Lepisosteus oculatus: one gene and its partner. The protein of the gene in region 1 interacts with the protein of each later gene in a pairwise test. Links are inferred from orthologs where the notes say so. Each region holds a gene or a part of one and is shown on either strand. Other genes may lie near its edges.

Region 1 (7,191 bases):
TGTACTGTGTAACCAAGAGAGAGGCTAAAGCATGGAAACCACCACTTCCTGACGTAGGAAAACCACAACAGCCCGAGTGAGTGGAAACTAACACAACGTGGTAACTAGGGGTTACTCAGCCAAGCACAGCCCTGCCTGTGTGAGAGAGAGAGAGGGGCGTCGCATCCTCCAGCAAAGCCCAGCTGCTCAGGAACAAACACTCCACGATCTGAATCGCACAGAGCACAACCCACCGACAAAGAAAGATCCGGAAACGTGCCTTTCAGATTGACTTCTGCGAGTAGGATGTGTGTGTGACTGTGTGTGACTGTGTCATGGTGTGTAATTGCCTTTTCCTTCGGAACGTCCCTGCAGCGCGTTCGGCTGCTTACCCAGACTGGGAGGGAAGAGTGATTCTTTCTGGGGAAGAGAGGGGGGGGAAACACGATAACAGCAACGCACAAACATCCGGCCTCGCAAAGCAGGGACCCCACCTGTGACACCGGGGGTCTTAACCCAGCAAGCTTCGTGCTTCATTCACACCAACAGCTTAACAGCACAAGAAAGAACACCAGGACCAGAGAAGAGTTAGAGAGGGGGCTCATCTTACTCATTTGTTTGCTAGAAACTGATTGATAATGATCCATAAATCAATAACAATCAGTGGACTTCCTTCGACCTGTTTCTTGAAGGAACTGTCTGAACTGGGCTGTACAACATGACCAGGCAGTTTGCTCCACACCCCTACAACTCTAGGTGTAAGGAAGCGCCTCCCGTCCCAGAGCTCAACACAATGTCTTCTAAGCTTCTGCTTGGACCCTGGTTTCTCTATTGGCCTCGAAGTCGTCCTCTGGATTGGCATCTGAGCTAAAGAAAAGTGTTCATCTTTAAAAATGTCTTAATCGTACTTTTATGCTGAATAGTACCGTTTAAATCCTCCCCATTGCCCTTTTTAGCTCTTGATGTTCAAACGGTTCCCAAGAACGTCCTGGACTACGACCCACAAAGACTGCAGGTGGGGACCCCATTTCAAATGAGGTCTGAGCCTTCAACAAAGCAGTGTGGTGCAGTAGGGCTTGGGTTCAAGTCCCTGCCTACTTGAGCAGAACACATCCTCTCAGATTGTTCCAATAAGACATCCAGCTGCACCAACTGGTACAGCTGTAACAATTTAAGAAAAATGTCATATGAACCAATAAGGAGACACTCTAAACTCAGTTATTTAATGACCTTTCTTAAGTTATTTATGAAGTATTTGGACTCTTCCCTTCTTTTGTACGCAGATCAGAAAACCACCTTCTCCATCACAAAACTGCCCACTCAGAGCCCTGAAGCAGAGGAGCATGCCCTGTTTGTGTAGCCAGCTCCCGTTGGTCTTTCTCCTGGGAATGTTGTTTCTCTGCACGCTGACATTGATGCACACGAATTCATTTCAAAAGAGACGGTATTCGGATACTGTTGGAATACCGCTAAGCTGCCTCTGTAGTGCAGCACAGTTTCAAACGGCCGATTTTTGCAGTCAGTTGATTTGCCTGGAGGGGGGGCGGGGAGAGCAGTTGGAGCAAAAAGATTTTAAAAAATAAAAGTACAAGTTTCAAGTTGCATTTGGTGCGGAGCCCAGTTCTCGGGGTTTCATTGTGTCAAATATATTTTTATAGACCTGGGAACACGGCCACAGACAGAGCGCGACGCGGCTCCGTACCGCCATCTAGTGGTGATCGCCAACACGTTACTACTGGGTAGTACAGCTGTAGGATCCAACACCGGTTCTCAAGCATCGTAATTGCAATTCAAACATATACGACTTCTTTTACTGCACTTCAGACCCATCTCTGTGCTGTTTCCCCTCCCTGTGCCCCTTATGTCACAGTACAGCCATGTTTTCTTCACTGCATCCACTGAGGCCAGAAGCAGTCCACCTCATCACAAGGGGCTGACTGCCCGAGTCGTCAGGACAGTGTCCTGGGAGGGCCGATGTTGGAGATCCGGGAAGAAACCCCTAACAGCTGTTGAGGTGGCTCTGTGGCTGGAAGGTTGCCGGTTCAAATCCGGCAGCCAGCAGAGGAATCCTACTCCTTTGGGCCCCTGAGCAAGGCCCTTCACCCCAACTGCTCCAGGGGCGCCGTATAAATGGCTGACCCTGCGCTCTGACCCCCAGCTTCTCTCCCCGTCTGTGTGTCTCAAGGAGAGCAAGCTGGAGTATGTGAAAAGACAAATTCCTAATGCAAGAAATTGTAAAGGGCTAATAAAGTTATGTTATGATTTGAGCCAAGAGGCGCCTCGATGACCCGCCTTTAACGTGCTCACAAACACAATCTCCGCACACGGTTCTTCACCGGCCAGTGTGAAGAACTCACACTCACGGCCCAAGTTTCATTCCCGACACGTGGATTACTAGTTTCTTACGGAAACGAAAGAGAAAACTTTCACAAACGATTTTTCCGTTTCAAGCCGCAGGAACGACAACTACTGTAACCTGAAAGCTGGGCACCTCATTCTGGGGCAGAATTATTTGTCGGAGCACAGCTGGGCTCCTGCAGATAGCGGCAAACTTTAAACCCGCAGCCACCCTCGTCCGAACACCCCCAGGACGGACGAGCTAGCCGACGCCATGAGCCACTTTTACTCAAAGAAACACCTGCCTCTTTCTCATTTCTCCTACACAGCCCGACGCACATTTAAATAGTGTCGAATTTGCCTCCTGTTTTGTTTTGGGTCATGCGCAGGTGTTAATTTCCTTATTGTGGGTAATTGATACCATTGCTTTCTGAGCGCACAGAGCATCTGGCTTCAGTCAATACAAGCTTTTCAGAAGGGCTACTTCCAGATCCCGCATTGCAAAGGGGCGAGGGGGAAATCTCTCTCAAAGAGAGTCGAGCACGCAAAGGGAGACAAGTTCATGACGAACAGGCGATAACAAGCGACAGACAGAGAAAATACGGGCGACGTTTTACCTGAGAACCGGGCCGGCATCAATCCGCCGATTTCCTGGACTCGGTGACTTCTTGTCTGTTTGTTTCTTCATTTAAATCCCGATTAATCTTCGGGGAGACTTCAAGAAAACCGCCGCTGACCACTCGCGCGGGATGACGGGTACGCTACCCAAAGCGCACTGGCGACCGCTAACCTCGTTTTAAAACGATTTCGTTATCAAAGATAGCGTCTCATTTGTGTGCGTCCCTACTATCAATCTCGGAAATGTAAATGAAAGACAATAAAGATCCCTATCTACCGTCGGTGTTATACAAATAACCAGGGAACTGATGTGGCTTTTTGCTGCTCTGAAATTATTTTGCTTTGTGCACACTGCCCCCTTGTGGACCAATGTTCGATCACTTGCCGTCTGTGTTGTATGTGAAAGCGTTCTCAATAGTCAATTAAATGTGGTAGTCCTTAAAATGAGGACTTACTCTATATTGAGTGGTGTACCAACAAATATGAAATCAAAGTCTGTCAATTAATGTCACGTATCTGAATTGCACCAGCAAACATTAATTCAATGTCTATTAATTAGATATTAATGTCACATATGATCAAAAGGGCCACATGTCAGTGCTGGGTTGAGATCCTAAAAGCTACTACATTAAAATATAAAACATAAATTGACCTATATCATATATGCTCAGTAAAATATCAGTGCAAAAAAAGACACTTCTGTCTTTTTCCCTTGCATTTTCAAAGTTAATCCAACGGCTTGTTATAAGAAGCCCTAAGACTCAGATTTTAAGAAATACTTTAGGGGAAATTAATTAGACCCCCTTCTGCACAGCTAAACTCAAACTGCCCTTTTTTGTGTGTTTCTTACCAATCCAATTGTCTGATCCATGTATACACATTGTTCCACAACCTGAATTGATGCACACTTAAGTCAAATTTAAAATTACAATGACATCCGGCTGTTTTCGAATCACTTCTTCCAGTTGAGGGTCTTGGGAGCAGCCAGAGCCTGTCCAGATGAGCAGCAGGCACAGGGACGCCAGTCCATCACAGGACACACACACCCTGGACAGGACACCAGTCCATCACAGGACACACACACACCCAGAACAGGACACTAGTCCATCGCAGGACACACACACACACACACACACACACACACACACACACACACACACACAGAACAGGACACCAGTCCATCGCAGGACACACACACACAGAACAGGACACCAGTCCATCGCAGGTCACACAGACTCACACAGGGCTGATTGTCCCAGAAACCAATTAACCCACCAGCATGTCTTCAGACTGTGAGAGGAAACCACAGCACCCAGAGGAAACCCCCATAAACACGGGGAGAACATGCAAACTCCACACAGACAGGTGCCGAGGTCTGGAATTGAACTGAGGGCCCCAGCATTGCAAGGTACTTTTTAAATATTGTTTTGTCATTTGAAATGACTGTGTGGGGAGAGCCATGCGTCAGTCAGTCATGTCTGAGTATGATATCCAGTTTAAAGCAACATGGTGATCAGGTCTGTGTGGAATCAGAGATTCTGGATAATTTGGGGGAACTAGAAAGTCCTTTTTTGATTTCTCAAAGGAGGAAAGAAAGAGCAGGAGAATAAAGAATAAAATAGCAGTCTGACACCCAGCTAACAGTTACTGGAGTGCAGCACCGTACCAGGAGCAGACATGCTGGTCTGAGACTGAAAGAGTGAGGTCAAAGGTTCGAATTCGTGTGCAACAGGCTCAGTCAGACGGACAGTGTCGGGGAGAGACCATCCACTCTGCGTAAAACCAAGATCAAACCAGCTTCTTTACTGCCTTCCCAGTTGAGCTGTATGGCGAGTTAACCAGCTGACATCCTCCCATTTGCAAACTAGTTTACAGTCTTAAATCGGTATCCATTACAGTAGAAGAATTTGCCACTGGACAATTCCAAAACACAGGTGAGTATTTCCTGAAAAGTTTGGTTCAGCTTTCAAGAGAGCAGTTCCGCCTTCGGACTCTTCTTCTGAAGGGATGGAACAGGAGCCAGCCCCAGACGGTGCAACCAGGGGCACCCAAGAGTTTTAGAAATACAGAGGTCTGTGGGCTTGCAGAGCAGAACTTTGTCAGCCTGCAGCTTAAAGTAGCTCATTCGCTGGGAAGCTGACGTAAGGCAGGCTGCAGGTGCTTTTATAGTGAATACTTGTGGAGAAAACACCTGTCGTCTTTAAAGGCCACAGGAAATCTGGCTTTCAGAAGTGAGGTCTTGTGCTGTACAGACCTGTATCCGGTGTGCCAGTCAGAGCCAAAAACCCACCGTGGTAGCAAAGCCAGGTACTGGAAGGAGGAGCATTGCCAGTTATACTGGTAACCACTCTGCCTCAGCACGTAGCCCAGTATGTGCTCGATTGGCTCACTTTGTGTTGGATTTATTGAGAATCCCCTCCTCTGCTACGAAGGCCCTCTCCAGCTTCCCACGGAGAGAACTCCCGGGGATTCTGCAACCGAATTCTGGAACAGGAGCCTCCCCATCCATCCCCAAAGCAAGAGAAGGACAGAGGGAGAAAATGGGGAGGAACACCGCAGAAGCACGCCGTCATACGAAGCCATTATTTTCTTTTAAAAGGGGGCCCTCTATATCCGATCTGAGAGTGGCATCAGAGGGGGGGAGTTAAGAAAAGACAGGACAACACAGGTCCACTGCGGGCCTGGTGCAGCAGCTGCTGTAAAGGTGTGTCAGCGTGCTTCCAGACTCTTCTGTTACAGGGAAGAGGCTCACACAGCATGAGGAGAGGGGTGACCTCATAAGCTGAGAAAAGAGATGAAGTCATAGCCACCTGACTCCTATTCCCGGCTGAATGCAGCACTCCCCTTTGCTACAGAACCCCATGTGTCAGCCTGTGTGTGTGTGTGCGTTGCCTGCGCGCGTGTGGCTGTTGAGCAGGATGGCTGAGAAGGGGAGGAGCTCTGTTTCCTCTAGTGGGTGTGACTTGAGCCGTCAATCACACAGACCCCTCTGCCTTACCTCACCCCCTGCTTCTGAGGCGCATCAGGCGTGAAAAACAGGACCATCCCAAACAACAAAGCTCCCTTCCTCGTCGGCAATTAGGAGCAATTATCACAGCATTTACGGCCTTTGATCGTATGAGTGATCGTGACTGAATAAGAGATCCTAAAAGGCGAAGGAAGCTACACCTTGAAATCTGACTTGCCCCATGTTAGACAGAATATTATTTAAAATAATAGCATTCATAATAATTATTTTATGTAGCGCCTTTCATGTCAAGACATGTCAAAAACGCTTTACCCTGGAGGTGACCAATCAACAGCATGGAAGTAGAAGGAACACAAAAAAAAACAGCATTTCTGTATTAAAACTTAGCAGACCCTAGCATGAAGAAATGTGTTTTTAAATGGCTTTTGAGGACCGACAGAGACGGGGAGTCCTGTATCATTTCAGTAGAGCCCTCCAAATCTCTGTAGAAAACATAGCATCCAGGATATGGTGTTTTATCATGGGGCACACAGCAAGCCAAGGAGCAGAGCTGTTGGAATGGAGCATAACACCTCGGCAAGCTTTTGAGCCTGATTGTGTAGTCCTTTGTCGGGAAGGACAAGGATTTTAACCCCTATCCTATACTGGTAGCCAATGCAGGGAAGCTAGAACAGGAGTGATATTCATATGGAGGTTTGGATCTGGTAAAGACTGTAGTCTGTGCATAGTGTGCTTAGGAGCTAGTCCAATCTGGCGATCCTAAAGGTGTGGACCAGTTTCTCAACATCAGGCTCAGAACCACACTAAACACCTTGATGCTGCACAGACTCTGTGGTGGTCCAGTTCCATTCACATCACCATTGTCAATATTGAGCTGCAAGAAATGTTGTTATATCCAGGTTTTACCCTCTGAGAAGTCACCCGTAAGAAGAACGACACCTAGATCAGTCCACGTGTCCATCTCAATGTCACCAGCATGGAAATTAACACCATGGTGACAGATACATTAATCACCACGTTCAGTTGTAACACAGAGGTGCTGGAAAGAAATTGGCCCAGACCCAAGCCGTGAGGAACACCTGAAGTCACCAAAAGAGTTCTTCCTATTGACTCAAACTGCTTTTGATCAGAAATCAAGGCCAAGCCAACTAAGGGCGAGCCGAGATATGCCAGCATGGGTCTCTAAGTAATTCCTGTGGGCAGCATGATTAACAGTCTCAAAAGCAGCACTTAGTTCCAGCAGAGCAAGGGCAGACAATGCGCTTGAGTCCAGAGCCAAGAAGAGATCA
Region 2 (7,248 bases), on another chromosome or scaffold:
TTTAGAGCTGTGGAATTCTTTTTAAACAAAATCAAATCAAAATCAAAGTTTATTGATCAAATGCACAACAATACAGCGCGCAGCGGTAGTTGATGGCAATGAAATGTCTTTTCTGCGAGCTCACAAAATACGAGAATCACAAAAAAATGTTTAAAAAAAATCACAAAATCAAGGTTAAAAGCACAGCAACCCGCCTCAGCACAAACCGCACTTTTACCGGGGTAAAACACAACTCCGCTAAAGTTCAACTCCAGTTCGCCGCCCTGCTGCCACACGGACACCTGTCCTCCTGTGCTTTCTGTAGGGTTTTTTTTCTTTACTCCTTATTAATTTTTTTTTGTTATTGTTATTTTGCTGTTTTTCTTGTTTCTCTTGGTTCTTGTTTACGTATGCCCTTTTGAAAGTGTTGTAGCATGTCTATTTTATTAAACTCCACAGTACTATTTGCGACACGGATCCTATTTTGTGGCGTTACCCGCTACACAGTTTTTGTGACGCTCACACCTGAAGAGGGTGTTTTCTTTCTTCTCTTTCCAGCACGGAATAAACCTATGACTTGTATTTTTGTGATGCGCTATAAATGTTACATGCTGTGGTGTGTTATATTGTACATGCGCAATAGATTGATGTACAATGTTTTTCTTATTTATTGTAATAGAATAATGTGCAATGTTTTCTTTTCTTCTTTTTTTTGTTTGCATTCTATTTAAATGTATAGGAGCGCTGCGTGTCCATAAAACAAAATTCCCTCAGGGGACAATAAAATCTAATCACTTATCTTAAATCTTTCTTTTGCGGCAAGAATAGTTAACAAAAAGTAGTCAAATCCCCCCACCCATCCACCAGGTGACATGAAGACCGAACCCACCCCGTGTGGACCCCCACACCCCAAGACAACCCGCAGGACGCTATCGGGGAGCAAATGTACAAAATCTTGAACCGCAGAATGTGGCTCTGGGGTCAGATATTTTTATTATTCAGATATCCAAGAGTTATTTACCGTGATTTACCGAACTCCGCACAAGAGACATTTTCCCTATCAAGTTTTATAAAACGATATACCCGCTACGCAGTTTTTTTTTGTATGCAGCGCCTTAACTTCGATTTAAATAATGGAGATGATCCGCTACAGTTGAATATTCAGAGAACATATTTTTTTAAGTTTCGGTACTTGTCGATGCGCGCCTTCCGTTTCTTACTGCTTAAGCTAAAATGATTTGATCATTTCACGTATTTGTCCGTGATTTTGCCCAGACGGTTGATCCGGATGTGCAATCGCTCCTCGACTCCGTGCAGAGCCCGTTCTTGCTCTATTGTTTATTTCCCTTCAGCGTGACCGGGCTGCCCGCGTCGGATTCAAAACACAGAAGCGCCGTCCGGCCACGCTACGAAATATTTCAACCCGTTTGCGATCTCCGTCTCGGAAACCGCTCAGACAAAAACGCACGACGTTTTCGAAGCAGGTTGAACACCGGCGAGGTATATGATTTCGGCGCGTCTCGGCGCAGCCGAAAATGAATTATTAATGGCGAAAGGCAGTTCCCACACAATAGCGAGGGGCTCTCGGCTCCGAAGGCGGTCCGAGTGTTTAAGCGGGAAAGTGAGAGACGGAGGCGATTCTCAGGGACAGCATCGCTCACACTCGCAGGACAGGTGAATGAAGCTCGCACTTCCCCCCAAAATTCACACGGGCACTCCGGCACCTGTCCATTTCCCACTCCAATCGCTTTCAATCGCCTTCATGCACCGCATTGTGGTCTCTCCCCCCCCCCAAGATCAACGTTATCTGTAGAAGACCTACTTCGGTCTGGGCTAAGACCAAAAAAAAAAGGTTCTTCAAAGAGAAATAAATGTAAACAGCGGAGAAAACATGCAGACCTCTATACCATATTGTAACGCATGCCTGGCTGGCGGTGGTGGTCCTGCACAGGCCAGAGCTAACTTTTGACAGGAGGCACCACCGAAGAGCACAAGCGACAATTCACAACAATCCGCGCTTGAACGAGCGACCCCGGCACAAGCCGACACAATCTTGACCCGCTGTAGTTGGTTAAAACAAAACAAAGAAATACCAGAAATAAATACCCGGTCCTCTCTTATTATTTTTTTTTTTAAATGGGACAAATAAGTGCTAAAACAACGCGGTCACCGGTTAATAAAATCAGGAGAGTCGATACAAGCTTGCCTGCCCCGGCTACAGTTGCACGCTTTTTTTTTCAAACTGGCGTTTCATTGAGCTAGCGGGTCCCGCAGCAGGGAAACACAATGTAACCAAGAGCTGCAGGCACGCCGGCGCTTCAAGCAGCCGCCGCCGGCGGCCGGGACAAAGTGCAGACTTACCCTCCCGGAGCGGTTCCTGTTGCTGACCGGGGGCGCAGCCGGCAGCTCCTCGTCGCTGGAGAAAGCCTCCGGGGCACCCCGGTTCCTCCTCGCCTTGTTCTGCGCGGTGAGGTGCTGCAAGTACAGCTGGACGTAGACGTCCTTCTTCTGCTCGCCGCTCGGGAGAGGCACGCTGTTCGCCAGCAGCTCGCTCTTCAGCTTATCCTTGGTCAGCACCGAGGGGTCCTCCAGGAACTCCGACATGTCTGCTGGTGGTGGTGGTGGTGGTGTTGGTGGTGGTGACCCGACACGGGGAATCGGCGCCTGTCGCTACGACGCGCAGAAAATTGAACTGGACGGGGAGAAAAAAAAACGTGCAGCGGGCGCCTCTTGTTGGAGTAAGACAGTAACGCCAACGACAGTCGATATCCTTCGCGAGAACCGCTATCCTTTTCTTCCACCCCTCCCCTTCCTCTCCTTCTTGCGCTTCAGACCTGCTCCCCGGGTTTCTGCGGCTGCGGCGATGCGCGAAAGCAGTGTAGTTCCAGCTCCCTTGTTTAAGTGTGTGTGTGTGTAAAAACACGCCACCCTAGCGAGCGCAGACAAACAACCCGGCCCCACTACGAAGCCAGAGCAGCGAGAAAAGAGGGGGGGGGGGCGGCTTTCGCCTCACTGCCCAGTAAAGCCGAGCGCCATTGGGCGGCGTAGCTGTAGAAAGGACCTCGCCATTGGCTTCAAGTTGGAGCGCAGAAGCTGAGGGCTAGGGGCTCCTGGAGCCGGGGTCTGGGTCTGTACGCGCCAGGAGCGAGCAGGACTGAGGGCTGAACTGTGCTGCGGCGAGGAACAAGCCCTGGAAAGATGATGATGATGATGGGATTATAATTACGCGCTTGTAGGAAAACAGAAATCGCCTGGAAGTGCATCAGTTTGCTCGTTAGTGTAGAATAGCCGGGTGTTGTACCGTTGCGTTGCAATGTAGCAGCAATGAATCGGGTGATTTCTGCACCACTTCAGTATTTTCTTATCCGAATGTCAAACGCGTCTTCACGGCAACGAACCAGACCGATTAAGAAGCGTTTCGGAAGCCGGACAATCTCGACCAGTAATGTGGCGTTGAAATAAGTACTAAGTACAACGCTTGCACTACTACTGGTGTCACTATAGTCCAGGGGCACGTAACGCACTGTGTTATGGGTTGTATACAGTACAGTATGTGAGGACAAGCCTCCTGTGAAAGAACTGGGCCATTCTTGGGGAACGGGACTCGTTTACAAAGTGCATCAAGACCCCTGGGCTCCACCACGAGGCCACGATACCGCAGCTTTCTCTCTTTTCGGGGGGGGGAGGGGAGTGTGAAAAGCGGGGTTCTGGCGGACACCCCGAGAATGAGGTTCACACAAAGCGTCAGTCCCTGCAGGTGCAGGAAATCTCGCCCCTCTCCTCTGCATTCCATACCAGAGTCTAGGAGTCCTTATACAGAACTCACACAAGGGAGGAAGGGGATGTTCTTGTGCAAAACTCTTTAAGTAGAATATTGTCTTTTAATATTGCCTTTATTGAACCAAGTGAATTTAGTTGTATTTTTTTGGCCTGTCTTCATTTATATATATGATATTATATGCCATTAAACTGTGGGTATATAATGCTGTAGTGTTTTTGTTGCTTTTTTTCCATCTTTCTTTGTGATGGGAAAATAAAGTTCTTGAAGTGGAGACTCTCCATGCAGCTGGCCCTCATCACCTCCTGATACCAGAGAGACTCCGGACTGTCACCCGCCCCTTGTCCTGATGTCCTGCACCCAAAAACGATCCTCCTCTTTTGGTTGGGAACTTTGGACGTATTGTCCTGCACTTTGGACAGACTGTGGACTAATCATTTTTTTTTCACGTTCCATGTAGCTGAAAGTGGGGTTCCCAGCCCTGATCCTGGAGGGTCGCTGTGTCGCCAGGTTTTCATTCCAGCTCCACTCTTAGTGAATTAAACCAGCTGGATGCCGGCTTGACGGGAGCCATTTCTCAGCTTCTCCCAGCTCTTCAGGTGCTGCTGCTTTAAAGAGACCTGGAAAACCTGTCACACTGAACCTCCAGGACCAGGACTGGACAGCCCTGCTGTAGACACACTGACCCCTCCTGGACCAGGACTGGACAGCCCTGCTGTGGACACACTGGCCCCTCCAGGACCAGGACTGGACGGCCCCGCTGTAGACACACTGACCCCTCCAGGACCGGGACTGGACAGCCCTGCCGTAGACACAGCGCCCCCTCCTGAACCAGGACTGGACGGCCCTGCTGAAGACACGCTGACCCCTCCAGGACTGGGACTGGACGGCCCTGCTGAAGACACACTGACCCCTCCAGGACCAGGACTGGACGGCCCTGCCGTAGACACAGCGCCCCCTCCAGGACCAGGACTGGACTGCCCTGCCGTAGACACACTGACCCCTCCTGGACCGGGACTGGACAGCCCTGCTTGCTTATGTGGTCGAAACGCAATTACCCTTGTTTTTACCCAACTGCTGATATAAGGGTGGTCTGTAGATCTCGCTGGACCGTGGCCCTGCAGGACCAGAGCTGGCCACCCCTGGCCTGCGGTAACCAGATGGAGATCAGGAATGAAGGTGAAGGAATTCTCCTCCTGGAGGTCAGGAGGGAGGCGGGCGGAGAGAGAGGTTCTCCTGGGGACATGGTACTGCAAGTCCCTACCCTCTGGCACCCCTGCTGAGGTGTTCCTTATGGCTGGGCTCGAGTCTGCGCACGTACAGAGACCGGAGGCTGATGACTCAGAGACAGACTGTTGTGTGACAGTGTTGCTGTCGGTTATTTGTGCAGTTGTATTTCCCTATGCGTGTTCCCCTCTTTTTGAGTCTTTCTTGTCTGTGCTTTTGTCTTGTCTTGTGTCTGATACCCCGACAGGGAATTAATTTCTGTGGTGAGGTGTTCAGTACCTCTCCCTGTTGTATGCTGTAGGTTAGAGTCACAGCACAGCCAGGCACAGTGGCGTAGGAAGACATGATTGCTGTTAAGCTATTTCTTTGCACATTATGCACATGGTCAAGTATATTTAAGTGGTCTACTGGTGAGTACTTATCAATGCTATACTAAAATTGAGTAAGGTAGCTCAGACATGTAGCGACAATATAGTGGATTCAAATTTTATCGTGTGATAAGTCTAAATCTGAAACGTTTGTGTCTAAACAATACAGTTGGTGAAAGCTGCAATGCAGTCTCCTAGAACTGGATTATTATAATTCTACGGCCAAGCGTGAAAACCAAGGAAACGTTTGACCAAGGTAAAATACAAGAATATACAGCCCCATGAACTTGCCCGTGACACTCGTGTTCTGGAAAGGATTATGCTTTCAGCAGGATAGAAATACACAACTGTATAAATGAAATAGTAAATACAGTTTTATGGGCACCTTCCAACCAAAACCAAGTAAAGGTCTTCTAAAACCAAATCATCCGAACATTCCCGCCAAACAATTCACATGCCCACTGTTGACAAACAACAGTGTAGACGCAGAGCCTTTCCCTTTCCCCCGGGAGAACGGTGATGGAGACAGAGGGACCGGTTTGTAAACCGGAGGAAATCGGCTCACCCGTCGTTGGATCAAGCAGCAATTTCCCTGGGAGCCCCCCTGAATCGTTTTGTTCCAAACACACTGTAATCATAATCGTAATCCTAGTTTAATACCTCACTTTTATACTCCGTGTGCGTAGTTTTAAGTTTCGTTCTTGTCACCTTGTCTTACTAAAGTTTAATTGTTTATTTTTAAAGGAGGGTGGTGGTGGTGGGGGAGTTCAATTGAATGCTATATTAGTTCAATATATTGAAATAATATAATTATTTGATCGACCAAACGTCGTGGTAATGATTTGCGGTCGGGACACGTCTATCCAGCAGTAGCTGCTCTGGAGTGACGCTCTCTAGCTGGGTATCTCTGTGAACAACCAACAACAATTCCTGGGCCATCTTCTGCTCTTGCTGGGTCTCTCCTGCCTGTCATTTCCAGATTGTCTGGAAAACCTAGTTCGTTTTTTTTTTGTGGCTCCTTCTCTATCTTTCTCCATCTCAGGATACAGCTTTGACCCTATAAGACGGCGAATATAGATAGAGGTGCACTTCCTACTGCACTGTGACAAATATTCTGGGAGGAGAGAAACATTCTTCCCCAAATTTACAAAACTAATCCCAAAGTTCCCACACCTGCCAGAATCACAACAAGTACCAATCCTCCTGGGAGAGGGAGGAGGGAACTCTGTTGAACTGGCAGCCAAGTATGTGATCTCCTGTCCCAGCCTGAGGAGCAGTGAGCCTCTCCCAATAATGCTCCATATGTAAATATCGTATGATCGTGTCTTTATTGTAAATGCCTGCAGATTTTTTTTCATGTTGTATTTGTTTTGCTTGGGGAGCACTGGTTTGACTCATTGGACATGCCAATAAAGCCTCGTGAATTGAATTGAAAAGGTGCAGCGCTCTGCCTGGAACACGAGTGGCGTATCTGACAAATGATGAATCGGGTTCCGGGGAGAATGGGTGTTAAATGTGGGGCTAAAAGGAGGAGTGACCCCGACGTGATTCGAACACGCAGCCTTCTGATCTGGAGTCAGACGCGCTACCGTTGCGCCACGAGGTCCTGCTGGACAGCTCTTTTCCAAAGTCTTTACGTGCCAGAAGACTGTTTGCCGACCGCTGGCGTGAGGACTGGGGGGGGTAATTTGTCGTATCAGGACGAGCATCAGTTTAGTCGACATTCCTGACATAGTAGCAGGTGCAGGCAATTAGCCAACCTCGGCACCTTTATGGTCTCTCCCCCTTTCCCACTTTTTTAAATAATAATAATAATAATAAACGCCCGGCGCTTTGAGACGCGTTTAAACCACGGCGTGTACTGATCGTCGCTGTTGGGACTGACACCAGTTCAAA

Evidence for each region.
Region 2: the proteins of lmna (region 1) and lamina-associated polypeptide 2, isoforms beta/gamma interact in a two-hybrid assay, tested with the Homo sapiens proteins (2 studies listed by BioGRID, with this or other methods). The link is inferred for Lepisosteus oculatus from reciprocal best matches to the Homo sapiens genes LMNA and TMPO.

The regions. Positions count from the first base shown.
Region 1 is NC_090722.1:3,105,313-3,112,503, reverse strand, and holds the start of lmna (lamin), read right to left. Parts: upstream 3,071-7,191; 5' UTR 2,934-3,070; intron 1-2,933.
Region 2 is NC_090702.1:48,996,404-49,003,651, reverse strand, and holds the start of lamina-associated polypeptide 2, isoforms beta/gamma, read right to left. Parts: upstream 3,078-7,248; 5' UTR 2,584-3,077; coding exon 2,341-2,583; intron 1-2,340. UniProt on the Homo sapiens protein: May help direct the assembly of the nuclear lamina and thereby help maintain the structural organization of the nuclear envelope. Possible receptor for attachment of lamin filaments to the inner nuclear membrane.